Linked DNA regions of Pelodiscus sinensis. The protein of the gene in region 1 interacts with the protein of each later gene in a pairwise test. Links are inferred from orthologs where the notes say so. Each region holds a gene or a part of one and is shown in the gene's direction. Other genes may lie near its edges.

The links.
Region 2: the proteins of CEP70 (region 1) and SYTL4 interact in binary tests that used the Homo sapiens proteins (3 or more experiments, as listed by UniProt). The two-hybrid records come from large-scale screens. The link is inferred for Pelodiscus sinensis from reciprocal best matches to the Homo sapiens genes CEP70 and SYTL4.
Region 3: the proteins of CEP70 (region 1) and BRMS1 interact in binary tests that used the Homo sapiens proteins (3 or more experiments, as listed by UniProt). The two-hybrid records come from large-scale screens. The link is inferred for Pelodiscus sinensis from reciprocal best matches to the Homo sapiens genes CEP70 and BRMS1.
Region 4: the proteins of CEP70 (region 1) and METTL17 interact in binary tests that used the Homo sapiens proteins (3 or more experiments, as listed by UniProt). The link is inferred for Pelodiscus sinensis from reciprocal best matches to the Homo sapiens genes CEP70 and METTL17.

The regions. Positions count from the first base shown.
Region 1 is NC_134717.1:12,118,387-12,125,521, forward strand, and holds the start of CEP70 (centrosomal protein of 70 kDa), read left to right. Parts: upstream 1-4,122; 5' UTR 4,123-4,225; intron 4,226-4,259; exon of another isoform or gene 4,260-4,413; intron 4,414-4,442; exon of another isoform or gene 4,443-4,921; intron 4,922-7,135.
Region 2 is NC_134723.1:4,978,552-4,986,305, forward strand, and holds the start of SYTL4 (synaptotagmin-like protein 4), read left to right. Parts: upstream 1-4,746; 5' UTR 4,747-4,882; intron 4,883-4,890; exon of another isoform or gene 4,891-5,063; intron 5,064-5,100; exon of another isoform or gene 5,101-5,231; intron 5,232-7,754. UniProt on the Homo sapiens protein: Modulates exocytosis of dense-core granules and secretion of hormones in the pancreas and the pituitary. Interacts with vesicles containing negatively charged phospholipids in a Ca(2+)-independent manner.
Region 3 is NC_134721.1:32,358,123-32,366,120, forward strand, and holds the start of BRMS1 (breast cancer metastasis-suppressor 1), read left to right. Parts: upstream 1-4,997; 5' UTR 4,998-5,164; coding exon 5,165-5,169; intron 5,170-5,434; exon of another isoform or gene 5,435-5,456; intron 5,457-6,355; coding exon 6,356-6,501; intron 6,502-6,813; coding exon 6,814-6,904; intron 6,905-7,160; coding exon 7,161-7,288; intron 7,289-7,998. Other genes in the region: B4GAT1 (beta-1,4-glucuronyltransferase 1), read left to right, coding at 1,172-2,254, 3,059-3,250. UniProt on the Homo sapiens protein: Transcriptional repressor. Down-regulates transcription activation by NF-kappa-B by promoting the deacetylation of RELA at 'Lys-310'. Promotes HDAC1 binding to promoter regions.
Region 4 is NC_134740.1:14,323,208-14,330,430, reverse strand, and holds the start of METTL17 (ribosome assembly protein METTL17, mitochondrial), read left to right. Parts: upstream 1-4,213; 5' UTR 4,214-4,299; coding exon 4,300-4,371; intron 4,372-5,320; coding exon 5,321-5,474; intron 5,475-6,123; coding exon 6,124-6,273; intron 6,274-6,723; coding exon 6,724-6,820; intron 6,821-7,223. UniProt on the Homo sapiens protein: Mitochondrial ribosome (mitoribosome) assembly factor. Binds at the interface of the head and body domains of the mitochondrial small ribosomal subunit (mt-SSU), occluding the mRNA channel and preventing compaction of the head domain towards the body.

The DNA.
Region 1 (7,135 bases):
TGGAGCCGCTGTCATGCCACACGTCACCACCCTGCCCCCCCTTCGCCTCCCACCATGGCACTCGGGTGACTTCTGCTCTGCTCAGCCAGGCCGCCACGGGGGAGCAAGCGGCGCAAGCAGCTGTTTGGGCCCCGCACTCCCCATGCAGCATGGGCCGCTCAGAGGGAACAGCCAGTATTTCAGTAACAGTGCCGCCCAGAGGGAACAGCCAGCATTTCAGGCAACAGCGCCCCCCCAGAGGGAACACCCAGCATTTTGCGTTACAGACTCACAGACAATGGGCTACTATATATATGATTATACTGTAAATCTTTTCTAGTCTATTAAATTCAATCTTAACAGTTAAATAAATATCATATAATTGAGTAAATTAAAGAAACTGCAGTTAGTTCAATGATTTTCTAACTTTTGTCTGCAAACCCCTAGAGGGCTGCAGACTATGTCTAAGATTTCCAAATGGTTCTGTGCTTCCATTTGACATTTTTAGGGGTCTGCATCTGAAAAAGTGTTGAAAACAAGTGGCTTAGGTAATATCTAATGTGTGTCTACATGCATGTAAATGGTGCATGCATGTATTATGTATTCATGTCAAGAAAATAATATGCACATCTATAGATCTTATCAGAAATGACCATTAAATTTCAGATTGCAGACATTTCCAGACCAGTTTATACTGAATTGAATGTTCTGGCATTGTTCCTTTTTACCTTACTTCATCTTCATAGAGAGTAATCTCTTCACGGGATGCCATAGTAACCAATACGGCCTTAAATCCAATTAGCAGCAAGGAAAGAGAAAAGCAGAATAGCAGCAAAGAAAATGTCGAGTACTGCAGTTCCTCTTAATTAAGAAGTAATCCTTTTTCCAATTTAATATCCATTTTCCTCATTCTTTACATTTAACACACAGGGATATTTTCACAAGAACTTCCACTAACCCTAACATAAAAAATGTAATATATTTCTACACTTGATACAACACAGGCAAATATAAATCAGTACCTGAGCTGAATATTTCACTTAATTTATATTTGCAATTTATCCACAAAGGTTAAGGGGACATAATGGAAGACCTTTTGATTAACTTCAGGTCAAAAGGCTAAGATCCTCTGAAAGAGATTCACTCCAGATCAAAGTTTTGTGTGTCAAGCATTTTTCCCTTTGAGATATGTCAGTTGAGTATGTAATCGTAGTGAAAATTCACAGGACAGCTATACCAAAAAACAGAATGTACATAAAAACGATACACAAAATGCAGGGAACTTGTAGAGAATGTAGTCTCAAAGAAAAACAGGAAAAGAGCTTAACACAAGAGGAACCTGGGAGGATATGAGGCTTAATGTGAAAGATACTTCAAGTTCTTCATTCTCGTGATTATTCCAGAACAAGATATTGAACAAGTACTATGGACTCCAGAACATTTATTTAAGGCTACATTGCATTTCCAACAGATGTGGTGAGTTGCCAAACAGCCACACATCAGCCCTTCACACATCCTCTATACCTGTCAAAAATGCATATGTTCTGGAACACCATAATCAGTGCTTAAGGATGTTAAGTAGTAGGTAACTGACTAATCATGTACTCGATACAATTTGTATCGAGTACACGATTAGTCAATAAGGGGCACAGTTGCAACTGCAGTTTTAAATATCGTAGGAGCCAGGCATGCAGGCAGCCCAGCTCCTACTGTATTTAAACTGCAGAGCCGCAGATGGTGTAGGTCCCATATCCAACACAAGCTGGGACTGCTGAGTCCTGGCTCATGCCGGGTCTCGATCTTACCCTGCTACAGCTCTGCCTTTTAAATGTAGCAAGGGCCAGGCAGCTCTTACTACATTTAAAAGACAGAGCTGCAGTGGTGGACCCGACGAGAGCTGGGACTCAACAGTTCTGGCTCACACCAGGTCCCTGACTACTGCATCTCTGTCTCCCCTGCACCACGAAGACTGTGCTAGGGGGAACCAGCTTTTAAGCCGGCTTCCCCCAGCACTGCTTCCCCTCCCCTGTTTACTGACTCTATATTAGAGGCAGCAAGGGAGCGAGTAGTCAACTCGACTACCCGATAAGCCTAGGCTTATCAGGTAGTCCACTAATCAACTACTATTTTACATCCCTATCACTATTTTCCCTTCTCCAAGCTTCTGCATTGTATCAAGGCATTTCAATTAATCTATCATTTTTTCCCATTAATAGAAATGCTTGGAAAAACGATAAGGATATTTGATCACATATTAAACTATAACATACTTTTGAAATTTAGTACATATTAGTCCGCAATACTCCTAGAATGTTGTCACTTATTTATCTATTTTGTTGAATTTTGTTTTTCTATCCTATTTCCATTGTGTCAATGTTTTATATACGTTCTGTTAGTTTTTTTAACCTAGTCTTTAATGTAAAATATAAACATAAGTTAAAAAGACCACTCAGTATGTCCCTGCTGCTGCCCCTCCTCTATGCCATCTTTAGAAGTCCAGAAAACTTGTAGCAATGGAGTCAGATTCACACTGATGTTATTTCTTTTATATTCTTGGTTTAGGGAGAGAAACCACATTGCTACCAAGCTTATTACAACATGGGATGCTGATTTTAATGACAGTGCAACTGAAATATGTGATGAAGCAGAATATTTCTGTTGGAAGGAAGGGGGCTGAAGGGAACAAAGGTCTTGCCCACATCAGCTCCTTCCGCAGTTATGGCAACTAGCCCGAGCCTCATGTTGTGGAATAGAAAGCTGCAAAGGCCACTGCCTTCCTCTCAAGAGGACCACCAGAGTCAAGCTCTATTTGGTATGTTACTAGGCTGGTTTACTGAAGACCCTCAGCACTTCTCATCAGCATGTTAGTAGTTGAACTTGACCAACTAAACTTAGGAAGTACATTTATGACAAATCACCTAAACAGCACCCTCATCTCAAAATAATCTATGAAATTTGCGCTACACAAATTGTGTATCTTATTTCAAGGTTATTTTAAAATAGTTTATTTCAAAATGTAGTCCCTTAACCCTTGTTCCACAAAGGTTACAGGGATTCTGGAATAGCGCATTCGTTATTTTGAAATAATGGGCACCTTTAAAGACATGAAATTGCTATTTTGGGATACTTCCGGTATCTCGAAAAAGCGCCACTGTCTAAACGTACCATTAGAGACTAACAAAAATACATACAGCTTCAGAGGGGTAGCCGAGTTAGTCCGAACAGGATAACCTTAAAAAACAACAGATAGTTTGGTAGCACTTTAAAGACTAACAAAAGATGGAGATGGTATCATCCAGCTCCATGTTTTGTTAGTCTTTAAAGTGCTACCAGAGTACGTGTTGTTTTTTAAGGTTATAAAAATACATACAGTATCATGAGCTTTTCTGGGCAAAACCCACTTCCTCAGATGAGATGATCTCGAGTGCCTGGGTTTTGGCCAGGAAAGCTGGTGATTCTCTGTAGATGTTGTCTAGGCTGGCGGCTCAAGACGCTGGTTTTTTAAGTTACAGACTAACAGGACTTGTTCCCGGGAGAGCGCCAGTCCCAAAGCGCGAGGGGCGGAGTTGCCCGTGTGTCCCCCACCGCCACCGGGATCTCCAGGGCGGCCAATGAACAGGGGCCACTTGAATAAAGCAAAGGGGCAGAGGGCTCCGAGGCGCTCCCCACGCGGGATTAGCCCGGCGCTCGGGGCAGTGACCGCGGAGCGGGGCGCTGCAGGCCAGGCTGGGCGGAATCGCAGGGACCGGGGGGGGGGGGGTCAGAAGCCGCCCAGGCCCCGCTGGGCTCTGGGGTGCGACGAGCCGGCAGCGCCCCCGAGGAGGAAGGGCGCCAGCCTGCCCGGGGCTTCTCGTACCTGGGCGCGTCTCGCTGCACACCGCTCCCCGCCGCCGCGCTCCCTCCGGCCCCCGCGGCCAAAATGGCGACAGGGGCAGGGAAGCGACGCGCCGCGCATCGATCAGCGCGACCGCCCGGCGCATCCACTGGCAGCGCCGCTGCCGCCGGGCCGGGCCGGGCCGCGCGCGCCCTGGGGGCGGGTGGACTCTAAGGCCGGTAACGGGCAGCGGGCCAGGCGCGAGCCAGGGCGCTGGGGGCGGTTCCCTCGTGCCGGGGCCTGGGAGGGGCAAGCTCCGCCTCCGCCGGGGCGGGGCCAATCGCCGCCAGCAGCGTCCTCTGGCTCCGCCCCTCCTCAGTTGTAACGGTCGCGGCGGAGCGTGTGGCGGCCGGAGGCTGAGCTCGGGGCCAGGTGGGGCGGGGCTGGTGGCGAGCGGGGTGGGGGCGGGCGGAGCCGTGGCCCTACCGGGACATCCCCCCTCCCCGTGCCGCGTGCGCGGGTCCCGGCCGCTCAGTGGTTCCGTCCTCGCCAGGCCCGGTGCAGCGCCGCCTGCGCTCCCCTCCCCTGAGTCTCCTCGGCTCCCTTGCGGGCGGCGGCTGGTGAGCGGGGCCAGGCCGGCTCTTGCGCTGCCCCTCCCCGAGGGCCAGTGGCAGCGCCGGCCGGCGGGGTGCCGGGCTCTGGGGGGCAGGGTCTGGAGAGCGGGTGCTCGGCGGAGACCGCAGCAGCCGCGGGGAGCGGGGCAGCATGGCCGAGGCTGGGTCGTAGGTCGGCAGGTTTTGCTGGGTGAAGGAAGAGGGGTTTTTAGCCAGTCAGTGAGTGTTAACAGCAGGGGGCTAACGCAGGCATTTAACCAGCCGCCCTTGGCCAGAATACCCCCTCATTAAATACCCATCGTCTGCCCTTGTGGCCGGCAGCCGGCCTTGCAGCTGCGCTCCAGAACAGCCCTGGTGGGGATTGCCAGGTTTTGGAGCACTCAAAATCTACTCGCCTGGGCCCCCCAGGCTCTGGTGTGCAAGGGCAGTGTGGGGAGTGTCATCTCTGGGCACAAAATACGTATGTGCACCCAGCTGACTTTTCTGTGGGTCAGCGGCTGCTCATTGACATCAGGTATGTAAGGTGGGGGAGGACTGTGCCAAAGCATCAGGCATAGCCCCGTCCACACTCCGCTGTAAGCGTTCTGGGGGCGGAGTGTTGCTTCCCCCTGCACCAGCACTCCCAGTGCTCCAGGGTTGGGGAGGCCAGGCTTGGCTGCATGGCATGCTCTCTTCCCTCCTTTGGTGTTCTGGGACTGGACAGGCTGAGCTAGACTGGGCTGTTCCGTGCAGCATGGCCTGCCTCCTCTCTCCTCCAGTGCTCGAGAGGCTGGGCTCGGCCAGGCCACGTGGCATGTTGCGCTTTCCAACAGTGCTGGGGAGGCTGCGGCGACTGCACACCTCCTCCCCTCGGTTGGAAGGGGGGAACATGCGTGTGGTGTGCCATCCTGCCTCCTAGGAGATAAGGAAAGGTTGGGGCTGGAGGGGTTCCCCATCCCTATTCTGGAGGCTGCTGCAATACATGGGTTGATCTGTATCACAATCGGCTAACTACGTTAGTGAGTGGGCCGCATGAGTGGTCCTCCTTCATCTTGGTTGCAAGATTATCATAACCAAGATGGCCTCCCAGAATAGTGTAGTTTTCCTAACCTAGTTTTGCATACCTAGCATTTGTCAGGTGTGCTGACTGAATTGTGTGGTCCGTACTCATCTCTTTTCACGTGCCCTTGCTTTATGTGAACGTCACTTTAGCAATATCAGTCGGGGGAAAAAATTAGATGGAGACCAGCAGAATCTGGCAACCTTGCACTTGGGCAGTGGTGAACAAAATGTCTTGCAAGCCACACATTGAACTTGGGATGTTAATGTATAGTTGGTTACACAGTTAACCGATAAGCCCAGGCTTATTGATTAATCATAACAACTACATGCAAATTCCCTCCCCCCTTACCGCTTCTGATATTTCAAAGGTGGAAGCCGGTGTCTATAGGAAGCCAACTTTTAAGCTGGGTCCTTGTGCTTGCCGCCTCCCACAGAGCCATTTGCCTCCCACAGAGGCAGTAGCGTGGGGGAGGTGGGAGCTGACTCCCCCCTGAGCACTGGCTTCCCCCCCGCGCTGCTGCCTATAATAGGCATCAGTGCCCGAGGGAGAGGAAGAGCAGATGGGAGCTGATACACACGGGGAGCTGGCTTTTAAGCTGAATCTCTGTGCATGCCTGCTCTACAAAAGCCCCCACCTCCCTTTGCTGCCTCCCACAGAGGCAGCAGTGAGAGGGAGAGGGGCTTCTGCATGTCCACCTCCTCTCTCCCCATGTTGTTGACTCTTTGGAAAGTGGCGGGGCAGGGCGTCACGAAATCCAGCATGTGCGAAGAGCCAGTTTAAAAGCCTGCTCCCCATGCATGTTGGCTCCTGCCTGCTATGGCCCCTTGGAGCTGGCACGTAAGGCAAGCCAGTTTTCAAGTCAGCTCGCCACTGCTTCCCACAGAGGCAGCAGCGCTGGGGGGGAAGTAAAAGGGGACCAGAGCTCAAGAGATCCAGCTTAAAAGCTGGCTCCTGACAAGCACTGGCTCCTAGGTAACCGCCTGCTCCTCTCCCCGATGCTGCTTGCTCTTTATCGGGGGCAGCTGGGAGCTGGTGCTTGCACCTGTCCCCCTGCATGTAAATGTGTAACTGCTAAAATTTTCAGGGGTTAGACATTTACACAAATGATAGTTAACATTCCTACATTGAACTCTGATGGGCCATAGGTTGCCCACCACTGGTCTGTATTGCATCTTGCACTGTAATATAATGGTACAGGTTGAACCTCCCAAATCTGGGACTCTGGTCCGGCAACATCCGTGGTCTGGCAGGGCCAGCGATGTTGCTGGACCAAACAGCCCTGGAGCAACATAGGGCTGGGGAGCCCCAGTTGGGCCAGGCTGCATTTCGGGAGCCCCTGTGCTGGCCTGGAACCCCCAGCATCAACAGGGAAAGCCAGTGGCTTAGGACCCTTAGCCCCAGCCAGGCTCCTGCCCAGGCTGGGGAAGCCCCCGTGTTAACGAGGCCACATGGCTGGGGAGTCCCGGTGTAACCCTCTACTGAAGTGGGGCTGGCAGAAGCGGGCAGCCGGAATCCCCAGCGATGGTGTGGACCTGGCTGGGGAACCCCCAGCGGCAGGAGGGCCGACGGTGGCCGGGTGGCCCTAGTTGGGAACTCTGGAGAACACCTGGCGGCAGTGGGACCAGCAGCGGCCAAGCGATCCCCGCCAAGAACCTTGGGACACCCTGGGGCAGTGGGTGGGCAACA
Region 2 (7,754 bases), on another chromosome or scaffold:
CAGGTTGTTGAGACAATGTCCTTTCTGGTTGCAATGGCAAGAAACTGTTTTTCCTTTGTGATCCTGTCTAATATCTCTTTTGTGGGCGAAGTGTCTGAGACATTTGTCCAATGTACATAGCTGACGGACACTTTCGGCACATGATAGCATAAATTATATTTCTGGATGCGCAGGTTAGTACTTGATAATCCCCCATTCAAAGCTTGCATTAGCCCTCTTACCATCGCATCAGTTTGCGAGGATTCATATATTTGGTTGTCCGGTATGATCTCTGAGTCCTTTAGGGTGTGTCTACACAGCAGCATAATTTCGGAATAACAGCCATAAAATAAATATGAAATAACAGACGGCTTATTCCGACTTCTGTAAACCTCATTCCACAAGGAATAACGCTCATTCCAAAATAGCTATTTCGAAATAGCTGTAGTGTGGACGTTCCACTGCTGCTATTTTGAAATAGCTCCTCCCCAGGGCCATTCAAACTAATTACTCTCCAGTGCCTGCTAAGGCTCTAAATGGACATAGCACATCCACATTAGGGGAGCCTGCCTCGGACTAATTTTGAGGCTTCTCTGTAGTGTAAATGCGCTATTTTGCAATAAGCTATTTCAGAGTATTTCTTCTGGAATAGCTTATTCCTAAATAAGTGTACAGTGTAGCCGTACCCTTAGTCTTCCTCTTTCACACCCCCCATTTACATGGACTAGTCTAGGGAATGCAGAGCAGAATTCAGATATGTGAGGTCCCAAGATTAGAATTGCAGGGGGCATTGGTCTGTGTGTGCATGTGTGCACAGTTGTATATCCACAGTAGACTATCTGGGCTGCAGCATGTCAGAATTACCGTGTGCTAGGAGAGTGGTGTGTAGGCCCAGGACTGCAACTGTGATGATCGGGGGTGATGTGGGGGCGGCCAGAGAGAAACAAGGCCCGTGTGAACTGTAGGCTCACAGTGGAGGAGACTCAGGCGGCAGTCCCCACATAGACGAGCAGGCAGCTATCTACAAGGTGTGACCTGATAGGCTGTAGTGGTTGGGCCCACGTAGCTGTAATGTTCTGAATATTAGAAATGTCTCCTGGGTTAAACTTTTTTCAGTCGCTTAGGCTATGTCCACACTCGCGGCTTCTTGCACAAGAAATATGCAAATGAGGCTGAGCGTGGAATATCGCCGAGCCTCATTTGCATACCTAATGAGCCGCCAGTTTTGCAGAAGAGGCTCTTGCGCCAGAGGTAGCTGTCTACACTGCCCCTTCGTGCGCAACAGAAACCCTCTTGCGCAATGCTGTTCTTCCTGAAAAGTAATTGGTGTAACAGCATTGCGCAAGAGGGTTTTTGTTGCAAAAGAAGGGGCAGTGTAGACAGCTCCTTCTGGCACAAGCGCTTCTTCTGCAAAAATGGCGGCTGCTTAGGTATGCAAATGAAGCTCGGTGATATTCCACGCTTAGTCTCATTTGCATATTTCTCACGCAAAGACGCCGCGAGGGTAGACATAGCCTTACTGTGTCTTGTTGTATTGTACACTGGCTGTGCACTAACGTGATCCTTCTTTACTGAGTAAACTGCATGTCCCTTCCTAGGAAGGAAATACCTACATTTTCTAGATTTAGGAAAATGTTTACATTTAGGACATTCCTAAATAGGAACTAGAAGAGTGTATTGGACTCCCCTCCCAGGGTTAGAATTCACAATGCAGATCCCCACTTCTTTGAGTTTGATCTTCTCTGACTAGGCTGACGGAAGCATTCACTCCCCTCACAACATGAAAAAATGCATCACTCCTAGCAGTATTGGCTTGTGTGTGCTACCTTGGATTGCCCAACAGTAGCTCGAGGTGGGAATATGCTGCAGGTCAGGATTAAGATTAAGCGGCGGGCGGGCCCCAATACTGGATTAGCAGTGTGGTTGGAGATCAGCAGCAAGGTGCATTGGCAGTGCTGTGTGTGTGTCAGAGCTGACACCTGGCTGGCCTGCTTCGTGCCTGGCTCCAGACAAGTCCTGCCTGTCAGCCTCCTTCAGCATCACAGAGCAACTGTCAAACCCAACCTCATGCAAGGCTGTTCAGGCAGCTGCTGCTTGGTAGGATGGGTGTTCGGGGGAAAGGGGTGAGAGGGAAGCTCTGCTGTGTCACCTAAGCAAATGTTTACTGAGCAGCCATGCTCCTGAGAAGTGTCAGACACCCCCAAATCGTAATAATTGCAGGTATTCTGTATTGCTCAGGATTGGGCCCACAGCACAGCCCTTTTCATTATTGCTAAGATGGGGGGACATCCTGTTAGGGGCTCAATGTGAGTCTTTCTCAATGTGAGTGAGTTTCAGGTTGTGCGGTGTGTTACTGGGGCAGCTTTTCACCCCAGGAGAGGGGCTCAGCTGTGGCTCAGGGCAGGCCACAAAGAAAAATTAGTGGCATGGTTCTTGGCATGTGCTTAGAAATATTTGTTCATATGGCAGCAATCACCACACACAACCGGGGCAATGCCAGACAGGTCCACATTGCCCAGTGGCCTGCACCAACACTGGCCACCCCCAGCATCTGCAAAAAGCCCCAGAGTAGACAATTCAGAAATAGCCTTCCTACGGGTGTCTCACCAGCAAACTGAGTTCATTGTTGGCTTATATCTTTAGAAATAAGTTCATATCCCTTAATTTATGAAATCCTTTCATCGAACTGGATACTCTCCTTGTCCACATTCATGTCAAGCTCTTTCCTGTCTTGGAGCAGTGAGTTCCACAGATGATTATGCATCACATAAATAATGCATTTCCTTTCATCTGTTTTATATTTGCTGCTTTTCAGTGTCATTGACTGCCTGCTTGTTCTTGCATTGTGGAATGGGGTTACTGGGGTGGGGGTTGGAACAGGGCAGGCGTTGGCTCAGGGTGGGGCGATACCAGGGTTGGGAGAATGGAATAAGGCAGGTGCTGGCTCCGCATGGGGGTTACTAGGGCTGGAACATCGTGGGGGTTGGTTCCGGATGGAGTTTACCAAAGTGTGTATGGGGGGGCTGAGGCAGGGTAGGGGCTGGCTGAGGGTAACGGTAACCGGGGCAGGGTTGGCTCAGCATGGGAGTGACTTGGACTGCAGGGGCTGGAACAGCTCTGGGGTTACTAGGGCGGGGGCTGGGGGGGCTGGAATAGCTCTGGGGTTACTAGGGCGGGGGTTGGGGGGGCTGGAATAGCTCTGGGGTTACTAGGGCGGTGGTTGGGGGGCTGGAATAGCTCTGGGGTTACTAGGGCGGGGGCTGGGGGGGCTGGAATAGCTCTGGGGTTACTAGGGCGGGGGTTGGGGGGCTGGAATAGCTCTGGGGTTACTAGGGCGGGGGCTGGGGGGGCTGGAATAGCTCTGGGGTTACTAGGGCGGGGGTTGGGGGGGCTGGAATAGCTCTGGGGTTACTAGGGCGGGGGTTGGGGGGGCTGGAATAGCTCTGGGGTTACTAGGGCGGGGGCTGGGGGGCTGGAATAGCTCTGGGGTTACTAGGGCGGGGGTTGGGGGGCTGGAATAGCTCTGGGGTTACTAGGGCGGGGGTTGGGGGGCTGGAATAGCTCTGGGGTTACTAGGGCGGGGGCTGGGGGGCTGGAATAGCTCTGGGGTTACTAGGGCGGGGGTTGGGGGGCTGGAATAGCTCTGGGGTTACTAGGGCGGGGGCTGGGGGGCTGGAATAGCTCTGGGGTTACTAGGGCGGGGGCTGGGGGGCTGGAATAGCTCTGGGGTTACTAGGGCGGGGGCTGGGGGGCTGGAATAGCTCTGGGGTTACTAGGGCGGGGGTTGGGGGGCTGGAATAGCTCTGGGGTTACTAGGGCGGGGGCTGGGGGGCTGGAATAGCTCTGGGGTTACTAGGGCGGGGGTTGGGGGGCTGGAATAGCTCTGGGGTTACTAGGGCGGGGGTTGGGGGGGCTGGAATAGCTCTGGGGTTACTAGGGCGGGGGTTGGGGGGGCTGGAATAGCTCTGGGGTTACTAGGGCGGGGGCTGGGGGGGCTGGAATAGCTCTGGGGTTACTAGGGCGGGGGTTGGGGGGCTGGAATAGCTCTGGGGTTACTAGGGCGGGGGCTGGGGGGCTGGAATAGCTCTGGGGTTACTAGGGCGGGGGCTGGGGGGCTGGAATAGCTCTGGGGTTACTAGGGCGGGGGTTGGGGGGCTGGAATAGCTCTGGGGTTACTAGGGCGGGGGCTGGGGGGCTGGAATAGCTCTGGGGTTACTAGGGCGGGGACTGGGGGGCTGGAATAGCTCTGGGGTTACTAGGGCGGGGGTTGGGGGGGCTGGAATAGCTCTGGGGTTACTAGGGCGGGGGCTGGGGGGCTGGAATAGCTCTGGGGTTACTAGGGCGGGGGTTGGGGGGGCTGGAATAGCTCTGGGGTTACTAGGGCGGGGGCTGGGGGGCTGGAATAGCTCTGGGGTTACTAGGGCGGGGACTGGGGGGCTGGAATAGCTCTGGGGTTACTAGGGCGGGGGTTGGGGGGGCTGGAATAGCTCTGGGGTTACTAGGGCGGGGGCTGGGGGGCTGGAATAGCTCTGGGGTTACTAGGGCGGGGGCTGGGGGGCTGGAATAGCTCTGGGGTTACTAGGGCGGGGGCTGGCCCCGCATGGGGGTTCCCAGGGCAGGCTCAGGCTGGGGCAGGGGCTGGCTCAGGGCGGGGGTCCATTCCCGGGGCGGGAGGGGGGCGCTAGTGACCCCGTGCGCGCTCCACCCGCTGCCCCCGGCCCGCTCCCTTTCCGTCGGGCGCAGGTGAGTGGGGCGCGGCCCCTTTAAGGCTCAAGCCCCGCCCCCCGGGGGGGAAAGTTTCAGCCGGGCCGGCAGGCGCCGCAGGTAGCGCTCCGGGCCCCGCCCCCGGCTGCTGGGAGCCCCTGGAGCCGGGCGCGGCGGCGGATCGGGGCGGCGTCCGCAGGCAGGTCCCGGGGCCGGGGTGCGGGAAAGGGGCCCCCGCCTGACGCTCTGCCGGCCCTGCCCAGGGAGCCGGCCCCGGGCCCGCTGGCTGCGAGCCGCGCTTCGTGGCGCTGCGGGCGCGGCTGGGCTTTGGGAGAGCGGAGCCCGGCTGGCTGCGGACGCGTTCCCCTCCGGAGCGAGTGGTGAGCGAGCGCTGGATCGCTGTGGCCCGTGGGAATATGGGCAAGTGGCTGCAACTGCTGGAAAATTTCAGTGGTTCCATGGTTAAACCGGCTCCCAGCGCGCCCTGACTCCAGCCTGCCAGCCTGCTCCCTGCTCCCGGCGAGCCAGCTGCTGTCTCGGATACAGAGGTAGCGGCGCGGGGTGACAGCCGGCTCCCCCAGTGCAGAGGTAGCGGCGCGGGGTGACAGCCGGCTCCCCCAGTGCAGAGGTAGCGGCGCGGGGTGACAGCCGGCTCCCCCAGTGCAGAGGTAGCGGCGCGGGGTGACAGCCGGCTCCCCCAGTGCAGAGGTAGCGGCGCGGGGTGACAGCCGGCTCCCCCAGTGCAGAGGTAGCGGCGCGGGGTGACAGCCGGCTCCCCCAGTGCAGAGGTAGCGGCGCGGGGTGACAGCCGGCTCCCCCAGTGCAGAGGTAGCGGCGCGGGGTGACAGCCGGCTCCCCCAGTGCAGAGGTAGCGGCGCGGGGTGACAGCCGGCTCCCCCAATGCAGAGGTAGCGGCGCGGGGTGACAGCCGGCTCCCCCAATGCAGAGGTAGCGGCGCGGGGTGACAGCCGGCTCCCCCAATGCAGAGGTAGCGGCGCGGGGTGACAGCCGGCTCCCCTGGAGCAGAGCTGCTGTGTCTGATACAGAGGTACCAGCGTGGGGTGACAGCCGGCTCCCCCAGTGCAGAGGTAGCGGCGCGGGGTGACAGCCGGCTCCCCTGGAGCAGAGCTGCTGTGTCTGATACAGAGGTACCAGCGTGGGGTGACAGCCGGCTCCCCCAGTGCAGAGGTAGCGGCGTGGGGTGACAGCGGGTTCCCCCAGAGCGGAGCTACTGTGTCTGATACAGAGGTACCAGTGTGAGGTGGCAGCCAGCTCCCCCAGAGTGGAGCGAGAACCTGGGCAGAGCCGTGAACGTTAACCAAAATGTGCAGGGTTATTTGTTAACCGTAAACTTTACATGGTTAAACGGTCACATCCCTAGGGCAGGTGGTGCAATCCCTGTGATGCGCGGTGTGTGTGTGTGTGTGTGTGTGTGTGTGTGTGTGTGCATGGCTGCTTAAGCTGGTCCAGAATCTGCTCCCATTCCCTAATTGTTGGTTTCTAGCCCTGGGGCAGTTCAGGGAGGAGAGGAAGACTTGCAGCTTGTGTTGGGCGTGGGGAGTTTGTTTCCCTATCTGTTCAAGGGCCCCTGGTATCTTACACAGCAGTCCCAGGCTTCCTGCTGCAGGAAAGGGCCATGACTCTAATAACTCAGGTCCCTGCTTTGTTCTGCTTGTGGGAGGATGCATTCATTTCTATCTATGAGGCGAATGTCCTGTCATGAAAGAAGGAGGGCTGACATCTACCCAGATAGAAGCAGTATTTGTCTTACATGCTTGGACAGTGCTTGGTGTGCATGTGGAATCATAGCTATCGGACTGTTGTGTTGAAAGCTTCTCCACTTGATAGATGCAGGTAACCTTCCTCCAAGTCACTTTCCTAATTAGAAAACCTTAAACAACGAATAGTCTAGTAGCACTTTAAAGACTAACAAAACATGTAGATGGTATCATGAGCTTTCGTGGGCACAACCCAATTCAAACCTTCATCCATTTGCAAATATTTTCTCCCTTTGCCAGAGGTGTTCCTGTGTTGTAGCACACTGGGAGACCGGCCAACTTCAGATGGTGCAAGCAAGGTGGATTTGTTTACAGGTGCAGAGGGGTGTGTGTGTGTGTGTGTGTGTGTGTGTGTGTGGGAGTGTGTGTGGTTGGTATAACTTCTGTGGTCAGAAGGTGTAAATTGGAGAATTTCAATTCACACCTTGCAGTCACTTTTGTGTTATCCCTTTGCCATGCCATACGTCAGAAGCTTGAATCTGAGGACCCAATCCAGAGATTGTGTCGAAGCGGGTGGAGGGGTGGAACAGCTTTCATGTGAGGACAGATTAAGACAACCAGGACTGTACAGTTTAGAAGAGAGACTTCTAAGTATGGCTCTGATAGAGGTCTATAATCATGACTGAGGTGGAGAAAGTGAATAAGGAAGGGTTACTTACCCTTGGGGTAACCCATGAAGCAGGTATCAATGAAATTTATAGGCTGAATATTTAAAACAAAAGGAAATGTGGAAGTCAACTTGTGGAACTCATTGCTAGGGGAAATTGTGATGGCAAAAGTATAATGGGGTTCAAAAAAAGAATTAGACCAGCTTGTGGAAGATAAGTCCCTCAATGGCTATTAGCCAAGAGAGTTGGGGCCATGCTTTGGGTAGTCCTAAACTTCTGACAGTTGGAAGCTGGGACTGGATGGTAGGGGATGGATCATGTGATAAATTGCCCTGTTCTGTTCATTCCCTCTGAAGCACCTGACACTGGCTGCTACTGGAAGACAGGATACTGGGCTGCGTGGACCCCGTATGTCGGCTTGTCTGACCCCGTATGTTCATTCTTACAGTCTAAAGCCGTGGTGTCCAATGTGCTTGCTATCATGTCTGTTGCTTCAGAACTGGTTGGACGCCACGGTTCTAAAGGGTCTGGGTTACGTGTAGGAAAGTGAGAGTTTCAAGTCCAGCTGTTGTAATGCATATGCAGAGTGGATTAGAAGCAGGTGCGATCTAAAGAGGTAAGCCCTCCCTCTGTATGAACCAGAGTTGGCCCCGAGTGTATGCACTTAAACGTAGGCGAGGGAGGG
Region 3 (7,998 bases), on another chromosome or scaffold:
TAATTAGATTGCTCTGGCTTCTGGGGGCAGCCTTCCCCAAAAGCTGTGCCTTTCAGCCATGCAGCCTCCCCTGGGAAACAAGTCTTGCCTAGGGAGGGGAGATTGCTACCTCCTTCTCTGCCATCCCCCCCATGAGAAAGCACACCTATCGCATTCAAGGGTCTCCCACTGGGCCCTCCAGAGAGTGACAAATCACCTGCTGTCTGCACCCATCTAAGTGGGAGTGGTTGGCCCTACCTGCCGCTACAAAAAGCTACCTTGCTTTCATATTGCTAAGGTAGTTTATTGGTAAGTCTAATACAGTTCCCAGCCTGCCACCCCATTGACAGCCCCTGGGCTATAAGAGTTCCAATATGTTATTTCACCCACCTGAAATCCACCCTGATTCTGCAAACACACACCCCTCTACCAGCATTATCCTCAGGGGGAGTATGGGAGCTGAGAGGAGACTACAGTGCATGAATGGAGCCAAGTTGAAAAGCAGGTGCAGTTGCGAAATCCATAAACACCCCCATGCATCCATGTCTCTTTTTTGCACAGGAAATAGTGTTCAGAAAACAGTGCCCGGATATCTCTCTTATGATCCCAAAAAGAACCCGACGAGGGTGGGATTCGAACCCACGCGTGCAGAGCACAATGGATTAGCAGTCCATCGCCTTAACCACTCGGCCACCTCGTCTTCTGTGTGGGAATGCTCCTGTCATTTCCTCATACCCCTGAATGTGTGGAGCGGGCAAGGGTGCACAAGGAGAGGTGGGTCTGCTTGTGTATAGGGGGTGTGATTCCCCCTGCACTGTCCTTTGCACTCACGCCCCTGCCTGAACACCACGTCCCTCTCTCTCTTGCGCTCTCCGAGCTGGGCACTGGGTGCAGCCATGGGGGCGTGAACCAGCCCGGTGCAATGGTCACAAGAATCTCCCCCCCCCCACCAGGTCACTCCCCTGCACCCCCGTCCCCGGCGGGCGGGGCGCGCTGACGAGCCGGCCTGCAGTGGCTCCTCCCTAGGGCAGGTGGCGCGCTGCCGCAGCGACGGGTGCCTCCATTCCCGGCCTCCCGGCCGGCTGCATACAAGGACAAGGAGCTGGAGCCGCCCGCTGCCTGCGCCGGTCCCCCATGGCGAGCATGGGCGCAGCGAGCCGGGCCTGAGCGCGGTGCCCCGGCCGCGGCCGGCATGCAGAGCCCCGCCAGATGCTCCTTCTTCAAGGTGCTGCTGTGGGCGCTGGCACTGGTGGCCCTGCTGCAGCTGCTCTACCTGTCCCTGCTCTCGGGGCTGCACGGGCGCCAGCAGCGCTCCCGCTACTCGGAGCTGTTCGGGGGGCGCCGGGGCGAGGCTCCCGGCCGGCCCAGCGAGCAGCAGAAGGAGCAGCTCAAGCGCGCCCTGGCCAGCGGCGGGCGGCTGGATGCCAGCGGGCAGTACCGGATCTACACGGACATGCTGGGGCCCCCGGAGCGGGCGAAGCGGGCGCCCGACTTGGTGCTCGCCACACACACCAGCCTGAGCAACCTGTACCAGCTGCAGGAGCTGGTGGGGCGCTGGCAGGGCCCGGTCTCCGTGGCGCTCTTTGCACCGGGCCCCGCCGAGGTGCGGCTGGCTACGCTGATGCTCTACGCCCTGGGGACACTGTGCGGGCCAGTGCGCCAGCTGGTGAGGGCCCACCTGGTGTGTCACTCGGGGGACCTGGCCGCCTTCCCAGAGCTGGAGGACCGGGCGGAGTTTGCCCGCTTGAAGGCCTGTGGGGATGTCTTCGCCAAGCTGGCACGGGCCGGGGTGGGCAGGCGTAACTATGCCCTGGGTGCCAACGCCTCCTACCCCAACAACTTGCTGCGCAACGTGGCAAGGGGAGCAGCCACTGGGCACTACACCCTCGTGCTGGACGTGGACATGCTGCCCAGTGAGGGGCTGCGTGAGGCCTTTCTGGCTCTGGCAGCAACCTTGGGTGCTGAGGGGCCACCGGGTGTCTTTGTGGTGCCCGCCTTTGAGATTCGGCATACCCGGCGCCTCCCAGGTGCCAAGACCGAGCTACTGCAGCTGTATCAGGTGGGGGAGATCCGGCCGTTCTACGAGGAGCTCTGCCCGCGCTGCCAGGCCCCTACCAACTACTCACGCTGGCTGAACTTGCCCTTGGGCAGTCCCCTGAACACCGCCTACGCCGTGGAGTGGAGGGACCCCTGGGAGCCCTTCTACATCAGTGCCAACTCTGTGCCACCCTACGATGAAAGATTCAAGCAGTATGGGTTCAACCGCATCAGCCAGGTACCTGCCTAACTGGGAATGGGGGGGCATTAGTGCCATGGGAGACACCCCAGAAATACACCCAGCCTCCCCAAGCGATGGAGCAGGGTGTCCTGACCCATGGGTGAAACAAATCAGGGAAGTCTCATCCAGGTGATCTCCTGATCACTGGACAGCCTCAGGCCATGCTTACTGAGCCTCATAGAGACACAAGGGCAAGAGGAGTGATTATTTCCTTCCTTGCAAGGGGGTTTTGGCCCTGATCCAATCGTAGTCCAAGAGTATTTGCTGGCTGGAGAAGAGAAGCAGCACAATGTAGGGACATTGTGCTGCAGGGTGGAGGGTTCAGTAAGAGGTGCTTTCACCTTGCATTCAATGCTATCCTCAATGCCCAAGGCTGCACCAGGAGGTGCTGTAAGTATACCTGTTAGTGGCATCCGTCCAATTAGATGTAAAATGCGCCTTGGCCCCTTGTGTTCACTAAAGACCATTTGTCCCTTTTTCTACAGCTTCAATCCAGTGAATTTCCACTTTTTGTCCTGAATTGTAGTGTTCTGTGAAGCTGTGAAATAGCTTCCACATCCCATACTGCATCTGAGCACTGGGTGAGGGATCCCTGTATAAAACAGCTCCAATGCCCCACCCCAGAAGCAGCTGCATCTCAGAACCAGGGGAAGGATCCCTCTATAAACAGCCTGCACACTCCACTTTAGAGGTAGCTGCTTTTCTGCACTTGATGTAACAAAGTGTGGGACACTTCAGAGTCCAATGAGGGTGGGGGTTACTCTGGTTTCTCCTTCACAGCTCTCCTGTCCCCTTTTGTAGGCATGTGAGCTCCATGTGGCTGGGTACAGTTTCTCAGTGCTGAACAATGCTTTCCTGGTGCACAAGGGCTTCAAGGTGCCAAGTGAGTTCCATGCACAGAAGGATGCTGAGAATCAGCGCAACAAGGTGCTCTTTCGCCAGTTCAAGCAGGAACTGAAGCTGAAGTATCCTGGCTCACTGCGCCGATGCTGATGGGCCTGCTGTCTTGGGCACAGCTCCTCAGTTCTGCCTTCCCTATGACTCTTCAACTGTAGCTTTGGTGTCAGTGTTTTTTGGGGGGGCCGTGCCCTCTCTTTTTCATTGAGTCATTAACGCTCACATCAGACAAAGGTTTATAGTTAGGGGGGAATCTTTCCAGTCACATCACTCTGGCTCCTTCACCACTCCCAGCCTATTGCTGGGATTGTGTATCCCTTTATCCCTTTCTTCCAATTCACTTCAGCATTCTCCTCCCACAGTTTTCCATTCAATATCAGACTATCTCAGAACAGAGGACTACCACACCTGGTCTTCTGCCTGTGTGGGTAGAAATCAGCTGTTTCCTCCATCCACAGTTCTCTTGTTATGATTCTTTCCCTCTCTGAGCAGAGAAGGGGGCTGTTCTGGATTCAACAGCTCCCTCTCCCTTTCTGTAAGTGGCTATGGGTTGAGAACCTAATATAGCAATTAGAGGAGGGAGAGTCAGGACTTCTGGGATCTTTCCCTAGTGCTGAAAAGAGAGTAGAGGTTAGTTGTTAAAGAATGACGTGTTGAAATTCAGGACTTCTGAATTCTGTTCCCAGCTTTGTCACTTATTCTATTTGCCCCAAGACCCTTCCACTTTGTGCACCTCATTTTTCCCCTTTGTAAAATGGGAATAAATGCACTGACCTACCTCCTGAGGGCAGGGGGCATGAGGCTTAATTTATGAAGATGCTCAATGCTGTTTGGTTGGGACTGGCAGAGTGCTCTTGTCCTCTGGCACTGTAGGGAATGGCCTGGCATTCCGTCGCCCTGCGTGCAAACTTTAGGTTGGAACAATAAAGTACTGTGGAGGCCAGGAGCTTCTCCTCATGGCTGTGTCCTGCTGTGGGTCCTTTCTGTAGCGCCGGAGGCAATGGTGGAATGTATCTGTCCCGCACAGGGCTTGGCTCACTGTGTGGCACTATGGGTGGGGCTGACTCCTTCATGTGCCAAAGCAGAGGCTCTCCTGCCAATGAATCCATCCTGCTCATGATCAGGAGAAGGGAATTGAGAGCCACACACCCTTGGCTTCTCTCCAGGTACTTGGCTGTTGGGGGCAGTCCCATGACAACACTGTGCTTGTGCACCATGGCAAGGAGGCCAAAGGCATTGTACTGAGGCGGGACTGGGACTGGGTGCCAAGTGTTATAGCAATTCTGGGACTGGAGCTGTGGCAATGCTTCAGTGACACTGCACCAGGCTGTGATGACTCTGCCCAGGAGCCACTACAACACTGACTGGGTCCTCTGGAGATGTCATGACCAAGCACCATGGCATCAACTCGACTAGGTACCATGGTGATGTGTCACAAGCAGGTGCTGCGGCAACACCAATTCGGGGGGTGCCCGCCCTTTAGCCAACTTTCGATGGATGTGGTCATCTCAGGCTAGGCTGTGGGTCTGTTGCCATGGGAACACGTCTCATCCTCCACTATCCCATAAGGCCCGGAGTAGTGGGCAGCTGGGAACCATAGAGTCAACGGCGCGCTGATTAATTGGTGTCCCTGATTGGCTGCAAGAAAATAAGGTGGGGCCAGTAGCTACGGGACTTCCGGGTACGGAGAAGCGAAGCAGCTACGGGAGGGAGGCCGCCGGCCTGGACTCCCGAGGTACGTGGGGCTCAGAGCAGCGGGAGATGGATTCGTCCCAGCTTCCCCCTCATGGGGTGCTGGGTGGTGCGTTCCCCGCTGAGATCAATAGAAGCCAGGATAGAGCTTGCGCAACCCAAGGGAGAAATTCGCTTCCTCCCCTGCTTGTGGAACTTGTTGGTTCCATCCCCGTTGAACTCAAGGGAGGGCAGGCTGGCCCATTACAACCGCAAGGGGGAAACTTACAGCGACGGCCGGCGCAGATTATTGCAACTCAGGGGAAGGTTGCGGCCCCTATGTTGTGGGTATTCAAAGATCCATTCCTCGTGAAACGTACTGGCAGCGCAGACCATTGTAGCTTGGGAAGGGGGTGCACTGTATCCTACTTCACCCCCCTCCCCCATCATGGGGACATGAATGACACCTTCCAAAACAAATTCAATGAAACTGGGAGATGCGAAGAAATCTCGAGGGGAGGGCGAATTGTGGCCTTCTGGTGTGTGTGTATGTGGGCTCAGTGGTATCTTCCCCAACACAGGCATAGACTAGAGCAAACGGTGTCAATTGGAGGGGGCAGTTATAGCATTGGTATGTTCCTCGGAAGTGAGCAGAAAATGGGAAATACCATTCTCATGGAGGGGGGTTCTCCCAGCATTGCGTATGCAGTAGTGAGCCCATTATGGGATATGGGCCAGGCCATGGTTACAGAGCGAGCAGGGGGCTGGGAGCCAGGACTCCTGGGTTCTGTTACTGGCTCTGCCTGTTTTCCCACCCTTAGCCCTAGCTGTCTATGGGGCTTGGGTGCCCCATGGGGTCTTGGGCCTATTGGAAGCCAGGTCCCTGCATTGTTGGCAAGGAGGGAGCAGCTCCCATCCGCAACTTAGGCTCATGGCAGCAGATCTCTGGGGTCCCAGCTCCGCTGGGGTCAGCACACATCGCTGCAGAGTCGCAGCACATGTCACAATGCCGTAGCAATAGCAGCTGCCAGCACCTGGCTCCCTGACAGCATCTCGGCAGCTTTGCGGGGTTTCCCCTACAAGGTGGCTGCACATGACAGTGCAGTGAGAACAAGGAGGCGCTGTCCCTGTGCCAGCCCCATGGCAGGATGACTGGCTGGCTGGGTGTGGGATGGGGAAATAAAACACCTCTGCAAGGTGCTGGCTCTGATCTAGCTCCATGTGAATCAAGTTGTGGGTTTTGGCGTTGCTCCCAATGGAGAAGGTTGCTACTTCCTTGGCCAGTGGGAAGCCTTGGGAGCTCAATGGGCTGTGGCGATTGGGGCCTACTAGCTGAGGTTGCCCTGGGGCAGGGGGATGCAAATTGTCAAGGGTTGCTGTTGGTGTGGTGGAGCTACCCATATTCACAGTCTGGGCACATGGGGTGTCCCATGGTTTTGTGGGTAGCTGTCCCTGGCCAGGTGTGATGGAGGAGGGTGGGAGATGCAGTGAAACAAGACCCTCCTGGATCACCTGCCATTGATCACCTAGAGTGCCCATGCCGGTGCATCCGGTGCCCAAGGAGGCCGAAGAGATGGAGGGGGATGGGGACTCGGCACCTGAGCTGAATGGTGAAGAGGAGGAGAGCGAGGAAGAACGTAGTGCCAGCCCTTCTGAATCAGAGGAAGAAAGCTCAGGTATTTGAGTATGGAAGGGGATACAGGGAGGGGCTTGGCCTTTTATCACAAGGCGGTTCTGGGATGTGGCTCTGCTTCCAGGGTAAAAGCCATGACCCCAGTGTCCTCTCTCTGGACTCCTAAGTTATGTTCCCAGCTCTGGGAAGAGTGGGGGGTATTGGGGGATGGGGCTGTGAATCAGGACTCCTGGGTCCTATTCTTCTATTTACTCCTAGCTGTGTGTGTGTGACCTGGGTGAGTGTCCTGGCTCTGTATGCCTCTGTTGCCCTGGTCTGTGTGTGGCCTGTAAGATACATGTGCTGTGCCCTGCAGAAATGGATGAGGAGGACTGTGAGCGGCGCCGCAGCGAGTGCCTAGATGAGATGTGTGACCTGGAGAAGCAGTTCTCTGAGCTCAAAGAAAAGTGAGTCCCCTCTTGGATTCCCCATCTTTTAGGTGCCTGTATCTCAGTGCCAGGCAAGAGATCCTGGTATAAACTGTCCCTGCTGCACCCCACCCAAGAAATGGCCGCATCTCAGTGCTAGCTAATGCTGTGGGTTGGCAAGGGCTGAGCAGGCCTATGCTGGGTGTGGTGGGCAGAACTGGACCATGCTGGGTGGTGTGAGGGAATCCCTGGGGTGGACAGGACTCTGCTCAGTACCTGCTGGTGCACCCTGCAGGCTGTTCAAGGAGCGGCTGAACCAGGTGAAGGCCAAGTTGGAGGACGTGGCATCGGGGCGGGCTGCCGAGTACCTCGACCCCCTGGGTGTCCTGCAGAACAACATGAAGATCCGTATCGAGGTGGCTGGTGAGCTCATGGCCTTGCCCATGTGTTAGCTGTATCCCCTGCTGCCCCACAGGGGACTGGTTCCACTGCCGTGAGGAGTGGAGGTTCCAGGGCTCAGTACCAGGACCTGGGAGGAGGGGACTGTCCCATGGGCTGTCCTGGTCTGGGCAGGCCTCAGAGGGCAATTGATGGCTCTAAGGGAGCAGCAAGGCTCTGGAGATGGGGCAGTTGGGTTTAGGGGGGCCCAGATGCAGTGTGGCCCCGGGGGGAGTGGGAGGGAAGGGTTCAGAAGAAGGGAGGATGGATGGTAGAGATGTAAGTGCCTGTAGCAGAGGCAGCAAAGGGCATGGGGGAACAGGAGCTGGTGCTGGGGGGGAGATGGCTTAAAAGCCATTTTCCCCCCAAGCACCATCTCTGTGGTGCCGCCTCCCCCCCACCTGCTGCTGCCACTATAAGAGGCAGCAATGAGGGGTAGGTCAGGAGGGGCTGCTGCCATGAAGCAGCCTCTGCCCACGGCCAGCCTGGGCTGCCATGAACAAGACCTGTTGCTAGAGCAGCTTCTGTTCATGGTGGCCCAGGCTGGCCAAGGCATGGGCTGTTGAACCCAGCACAAGCTGGGACTGAGCAAATCTGGCTCAGTCCCAACTTGCGCCAGTCCAGGATTTTAAATGTAGTAAGAGCTGCCCGGCATGAGCTGGGATAGAGCACCTTCCCTCATCGACTGATCGTGT
Region 4 (7,223 bases), on another chromosome or scaffold:
GGCCGCCGGCCAAGCCGGATCCTGGCTCCAGAGACACCCGCTCCCAGCCGGGCCCCCAGGGTGGGGCGCTGCCCGGGCACCAGGGTGGGGGCGATGGGCCCCGGCTCTCACGCATCCGCCCTGCAGCAAGGGGGGGGGGTCGGGTCAGCCCTGCTCCCCAGGGGAGTGAGGGGGCAGGTGTCCCACCCCTCCCCCGCCCCCGCTCTACAGGAGAGGTGGGGGCCCGTGGGGGGGGGGGTCTGCCCATCCCGCCGCGCCTGGGGAGTCTCAGGGCAGTTTTCTTAAACAAACACCTCCGGGCCTCAGTTTCTCCATCCGGAAAATGGCGCCAATCACCCACAGCTCCCGCCTGAGATCAGGGTCCCGTGGGGCCGGGCGAGCCCAGACCCGGCCGAGATCGGGGCTCCTTACAGAACAGAAACTCGCCCCCCCCCCGTTCATGTGCAGCGTGAGATAAAGGGGGGTTTCCAGAGCAGGGCAGGGGAATTAGCCCCCTGTGGGGAAACTGAGGCACAGGGCCCAAGGGACTTAGGAACCGAGCCCCAGCCTCCTTTGCCCCAGTGACCCCCCCGAGGGGTCTGTAGCCTGCCCATGGAGCCCAGCTCGCCCCCCCCCCCCCCATGGTGCCACCCCAGCACCTGGCTTCGGAGGCTCCCGGCTCCGTAGCTGGTGCCCAGGGCTTTGCACCCTCCCTCGAGCTTCCCCCGCCCCCCCCCTCAGCAGCTCCGGGTGCCCGCAGCCGGCTCCAGGGAGCCCGCCCCGGCCAGCCAGGCGGTATAAAAGGGGCCGGGCCGGGCGGGAGGTCAGACGCGCAGCTCCGGCCCCGCGCTCCAGCAGGTGAGGCAGCGGCTGGGGGGCAGTGGAGGGCCCTGGCCAAGGGGGCAGAGCTCTGGGCTCGCCCGGTCCCCAGAGAGCCGCTGGGACGGACAGACGGGCCCACGGGACGGGACGGCACCGCCCGGGTTCTCCCCCCGGCTCTGGGAGGGAAGCGGGGGCTAGTGGTTAGAGCAGGGGGGCGTTGGGAGCACTTGCCAAGTGCTGGAGCAGTCTGTGCAGCCGGGGGCGGCTCCTGCCTCAGTTTCCCCTCCCCCCCGCGTGCTGTTGCAGGTGGCGATGGGCCCCGCCCGGCTCCTCCCGGCGCTGCTGCTGGCCGGCCTGCTCCTGGGGGCGGCGGCCCACGGGCCCCCCGACGCGGCGTTCCTGCGGCGGCACCAGGACAACCCGCGCAGCGCGGCCGGGCCGGACTACTGCGGGGCGCTGCTGCGGCGCCGCGGCCTGGCGCCCCCCTGCCCGGCCCTGCACACCTTCGTCCACGCCTCGCGGGCCCAGCTGCGGGCCGTGTGCCGGGAGGGCGGCGCCCCCTCGCCCGGCCTGCGCCGCAGCGCCCGGCCCCTGGCCCTCACCACCTGCGAGCTGCAGCACCGGCGGGGCGCCCGCTGCCTCTACCGCAGCCACGCCGCCGCCCGCTACGTCGTGCTGGCCTGCGAGCACGGCCTGTGGCCGGTCCGGTACCACGAGCCGGCGTGACCCCCCGGGCCGCCCTGCGCTGGGCCTGCCCCCCGGGGCCGGCAATAAAACCCCTTTGCTGGCACAGACGTGGCTGCGTGTGCGCCAGGGCTGTGGGGCGGGCAGGGGGCGCTCTGCCCTGGCAGGTAGAACTGGCCCCAGGGTGGCACTAGGGGTCCTGTGGGGCAGGGAGGGGGCGCAGCAGGGGGCGCTCTGCCCTGGCAGGCAGAACTGGCCCCTAGGGGGCGCTGTGGGGCAGGGAGGGGGCACAGCAGGGGGCGCTCTGCCCTGGCAGGTAGAACTGTCCCCAGGGTGGCACTAGGGGGCGCTGTGGGGCAGGGAGGGGGCACAGCAGGGGGCGCTCTGCCCTGGCAGGTAGAACTGGCCCCAGGGTGGCACTAGGGGGCGCTGTGGGGCAGGGAGGGGGCACAGCAGGGGGCGCTCTGCCCTGGCAGGTAGAACTGTCCCCAGGGTGGCACTAGGGGGCGCTGTGGGGCAGGGAGGGGGCGCAGCAGGGGGCGCTCTGCCCTGGCAGGTTGAACTGTCCCCAGGGTGGCACTGGCAGGTTGAACTGTCCCCAGGGTGGCACTAGGGGGCGCTGTGGGGCAGGGAGGGAGCTCAGCAGGGGGTGCTCTCCCCTGGCAGGCAGAACTGGCCCCTAGGGGGCGCTGTGGGGCAGGGAGGGGGCTCAGCAGGGGGCGCTCTCCCCTGGCAGGCAGAACTGGCCCCTAGGGGGCGCTGTGGGGCAGGGAGGGGGCGCAGCAGGGGGCGCTCTCCTCTGGCAGGCAGAACTGGCCCCTAGGGGGCGCTGTGGGGCAGGGAGGGGGCGCAGCAGGGGGCGCTCTCCCCTGGCAGGCAGAACTGGCCCCTAGGGGGCGCTGTGGGGCAGGGAGGGGGTGCAGCAGGGGGCGCTCTCCTCTGGCAGGCAGAACTGGCCCCTAGGGGGCGCTGTGGGGCAGGGAGGGGGCACAGCAGGGGGCGCTCTCCCCTGGCAGCCTCACTACTCCACTCCCATCTCCAAACCAACCATCTTGGGTCAGAAAAATGAACGGAGCTCCCCGCTTCGCCCGTCTCCAGTCCTGCCCCAGAGGGAGTCTATGGGACCCGGCCCAGCAGCCTTTGCCCTTTGCAGCTATTCAGCAAAGCCCTGCAGCGGGCGGGGAGAGGGAAATGTTTAACCTGCCACTCTAGAGAACGGGCAGCCAAGAGTTTCCTAAGAGCTGGCTCAGGCGCCCGCATGGCCCAGGATCCAGGCACTCAGTATCCCACGGCGCTGGGGGGCGTTGCACGGGATTTGCAGAGAAGGAGCGGGGTGCTGTTGTTTCAAAGGGCCAACAGGACGTCCGGGTTCATCGGAGGCAGGTCACCCTGACCTCGGTCCTGAGCAAAATCACGAGGCAATTACAGGTCCGCAGCCAAGTACCATCACTAGTGAAGAGCAGGCCGGAGCCTGCGCACAGATTGGTGTTTTTCCGGGGTGCTAAAGGTACAGGAGCTGCCGTACCCCTGCAAAGCGTGCACTGCCCAAGGCTCTGAGGGCGGGAGCCGGCAGCTGGGAGCCGCACGCACCGACCGGCCTCGCCAGCTGTGAGCGAAGGAAACGAAAGCCGGACGACCCTTCCCTGGCTGCGCTGTCCACTCAGAGCCAGCAACGCGGCCTGCTTGCAAGCAGTCCTGGGGGGAGAGCCTCGATGCTGCCGAGGGGATTTAGGCGCATGTCTGCCCCTAAGATCTAGCTGAGCGGCCCAATGTCTCCTAGGGGATTTGGACGCGCAAGTCCCCCTAATTTCAAAGGGGAGTCGGGGCAGCTGTCAGGTGCTTGGCAGGCCCGTCTGAGTGTGCGGCGGGTAAGATTCCCCCCAGACCCACCACACAGCGCTCCAGGGAAAGGGGCCTGTGAGATCTGCCTCTCCCCAATTCAGGGGGGCCCACTCCAACGTGACCCACCTGGGGCTGTGCCAAGCGCATTGGGCACCCAGTGCGAGTGGAAATTCCTCCAGCTGGCACTCGGCTGCTGTGGGGCTGCGGCGGGGGCTATGGGGAGCTATGCCCGACGAGGGTCACGGCCCCCCGGCTGCTCCCTGGGCTCTGCAGCCCGGGCCTGGCTCGCTCAGCAGCTCAGCTTCCCTGGGGGCGTGTGCCCACTTGGCCCCCTCCCCTTATACAGGGGACCCAGGGGGACCTTCACTGTGGGGGGGTGCAGCGAGGGGCCCGGGCAGCAGGGGGTGCAGGCTACACCCCCCGGCATCGCCTGGGCACAGCTGGGGGGGCAGGGACAAGCCCCCAAATCCCGGGCAGGGACAAGCCCCCCCCATTAAATCCAGCCCCAAACCAGTGTCAGCTTCGTGGCTCCAGGCTAAGTTCTGCCCCCCATTAAATCACCACCCCCAGGCGGCGGGGCGGGGCGGGGCGGGGGGAGCAGCCCGCACGCTGCGCAGGTCCACGGGCCGCTCCAGCTGTGCGGGGGGGCTCGTGTCGCGACATGACGCGGCCAGCGCCGCTTTGCCCCTCCCCGCGGCCCGACCTCAGCGGGCCGGCCAATGGCGGGCGAGTATGCAAATGAGGCAGGGAACACCGGCGGGAGGGGAGATCGGGCCAATCAGGCAAGGGAGAGAGCGCGTGCGCGCGGCGCGTGCCTGAGACTCGAGCCACCGCCTCCCCGGAGAACCTTTAGGCCCCGCCCAGCCGCAGCTCGCTGGCCCAATCGCCGCTCCCGCCACGGCGTTCGAACCCCCTCATTTGCATAGACGCTGGCGATTGGCCAGTACTGGGGGCGGGGCCGAGCGTTCCAAGATGGCGGCGCCCGTGGCGGCGCGGCGCTGGCGGGGGCTTTGGGGGCCTCGTGGCGGCGCGTCCCCGCTCCGGGTGAGTGACCCCCCCCCGCCGGGCTCATGAATAGTCATGAGCGGATTTGCATAAAGGGCGCGGGCGGAATAGAGCACGTGACCAGCCCCCCCTCCCCCGGGATAGCTCCGCCCCTCCTCTGACCCCCCCCCGGGCCATATAGCCCCATATGGACCCCGCCCATAGAACCCTGCAGGGACCAGACCCCCCCGGGCCATATAGCCCCATATGGACCCCGCCCATAGAACCCTGCAGGGACCAGACCCCCCCGGGCCATATAGCCCCATATGGGCCCCGCCCATAGAACCCTGCAGGGACCAGACCCCCCCGGGCCATATAGCCCCATATGGACCCCGCCCATAGAACCCTGCAGGGACCAGACCCCCCCCGGGCCATATAGCCCCATATGGACCCCGCCCATAGAACCCTGCAGGGACCAGACCCCCCCCCCCCCGGGCCATATAGCCCCATATGGACCCCGCCCATAGAACCCTACACGGACCAGACCTCCCCCCCGGGCCATATAGCCCCATATGGACCCCGCCCATAGAACCCTGCACGGACCAGACCTCCCCCCCCGGGCCATATAGCCCCATATGGACCCCGCCCATAGAACCCTGCACGGACCAGACTGCCCCCCCCCCCCCCGGCCATTTAGCCCCACATGGACCCCGGTCGTAGACCGCTGTATAGATCAGACTAGGGATGTCCACAGCGGGGAGGGGGCAGGCTGCCTGTACCTACCTTACAACTGACCTGGAGCCACTTGGGCCATTTAACCCTGTATGGACTGTCCATGGAGTCTGCTGCTGTGCATCCTCTCAGGGCCGCATCCCCCGTATGGCCTTGCCCCCTCACTGCCAACTGGCTGGGCCGGCCAGCCCCACGTGGAGCACCCAGGCAGGCCGTATAGGGCCGTATGGACTGGCTCTTGGAGCCCTGCTCTCCTCATGCTGCTCTCCCCACTTAGGCCTTCGCCACCGTCATCCCAAAGGTGTCTCAGGTGGACAACTCCTCCGACTTTCTGGGCAGAGTGCCCCACCGCCGGCACCCCGGGGTGCTGCACCTCAAGACCGTGCAGCTTCCGGCCGAGCTGGTGAAGGCGGCCCAGCTGCTGGTGGAGCGTAAGTCACCGTGGGGCGCGAGAGGGCTCCGTGCTGCCGGAAACAGGGCAAGGGGCTGGGGGGGGGGGGGCTGCTCCTTGCGCTGCTGTTACCCAGTTGCCCTGCCCCAGAGCTGGCTGCATTTCCCCTCACGGGGAGCCAGCCCCAGACGCGTTATATGTGGCTGTTACCCAGCTGCCCTGCCCCAGAGCTGGCTGCATTTCCCCTCACGGGGAGCCAGCCCCAGACGCATTATATGTGGCTGTTATGCAGCTGCCCTGCCCCAGAGCTGGCTGCATTTCCCCTCATGGGGAGCCAGCCCCAGACGCGTTATATGTGGCTGTTACCCAGTTGCCCTGCCCCAGAGCTGGCTGCATTTCCCCTCACGGGGAGCCAGCCCCAGATGCGTTATATGTGGCTGTTATGCAGCTGCCCTGCCCCAGAGCTGGCTGCATTTCCCCTCACGGGGAGCCAGCCCCAGACGCGTTATATGTGGCTGTTACGTAGCTGCCCTGCGCCAGAGCTGGCTGCATTTCCCCTCACGGGGAGCCAGCCCCAGACGCGTTATATGTGGCTGTTACCCAGCTGCCCTGCCCCAGAGCTGGCTGCATGTCAGCACCACTGCTCGATTCTCCTCACTGGGTCCTTTGTCTCTTTCTCCCCGCACCAGAGTCCACCATGCAGGGGCTGAAGGACAAGGTGGAGGGCCTGACCAACTACCTCTGGAGCCGGAAGCGCCCCCTGGAGGCCACCGAGCTGCAGCGACGGGGGGTGCAGCTGGAGCAGCAGCTGCGGGAGACCCTCCGGCCCCGCACAGAGGGTGAGTGCACACCCGGGGCAAGAGGAGAGAAAGCTGCGGGGACGGGGTGGGGGGCTCTCCCTGTGCACTCAGCGCTGGGTCCTGCTGCTCCCCCCTTCCCCTGCGCTAACCACTATCCCCCGCTCCTCCCCCAGAGAACCCAGGAGTCCTGGCTCCTCCTCCTTGCCCCCCCCATGTAACCACTAGCCTCTACTCTCCTCCCAAAGAACCTGGGAGTCTGGGATCCCAGCCCCTCCTGCTCTAACCAGTAGCCTCTACTCCCCTCCCGAATAACCCAGGAGTCTGACCCCCCCCCCAGCCACTAGCCCCCACTCCCCTCCACGAGCCAGAGAGGGAACCCAGGAGCTCTGGCGCCCAGTCCCCCCGCTCTAACCACTAGTCCCATTCCCCTCTCAGTAAACCCAGGAGTCGTCCCCCCAGTAATTGCTTAACCCTGTTTCTCCCCGTCAGACCCGCCCGGCCCCTTGACGGACGCTGAGGAGCAGAGGCTGCAGAGGAGGGTGCTCAACAGGCTGCGGAAAACCACCTACCACTGGGAGGAGCTGAGGTGGGCTGGGTCCCCCGCTCTGCCGCGGTGCGCCCAGCTCTGGGGAGGGGCCCGGCCGGGTATATCGCCCAGCGCCGAGGGGCGCCCAGCTCTGGGGAGAGACCCGGCTGGGTATATCGCCTTGCGCCGAGGGGCGCCCAGCTCTGGGGAGGGGCCCGGCCGGGTATATCGCCCAGCGCCGAGGGGCGCCCAGCTCTGGGGAGAGGCCCGGCCGGGTATATCGCCCAGCGCCGAGGGGCGCCCAGCTCTGGGGAGGGGCCGGGCCGGTATATCGCCCAGCGCCGAGGGGCGCCCAGCTCTGGGGAGGGGCCGGGCCGGTATATCGCCCAGCGCCGAGGGGCGCCCAGCTCTGGGGAGAGGCCCGGCCGGGTATATCGCCCAGCGCCGAGGGGCGCCCAGCTCT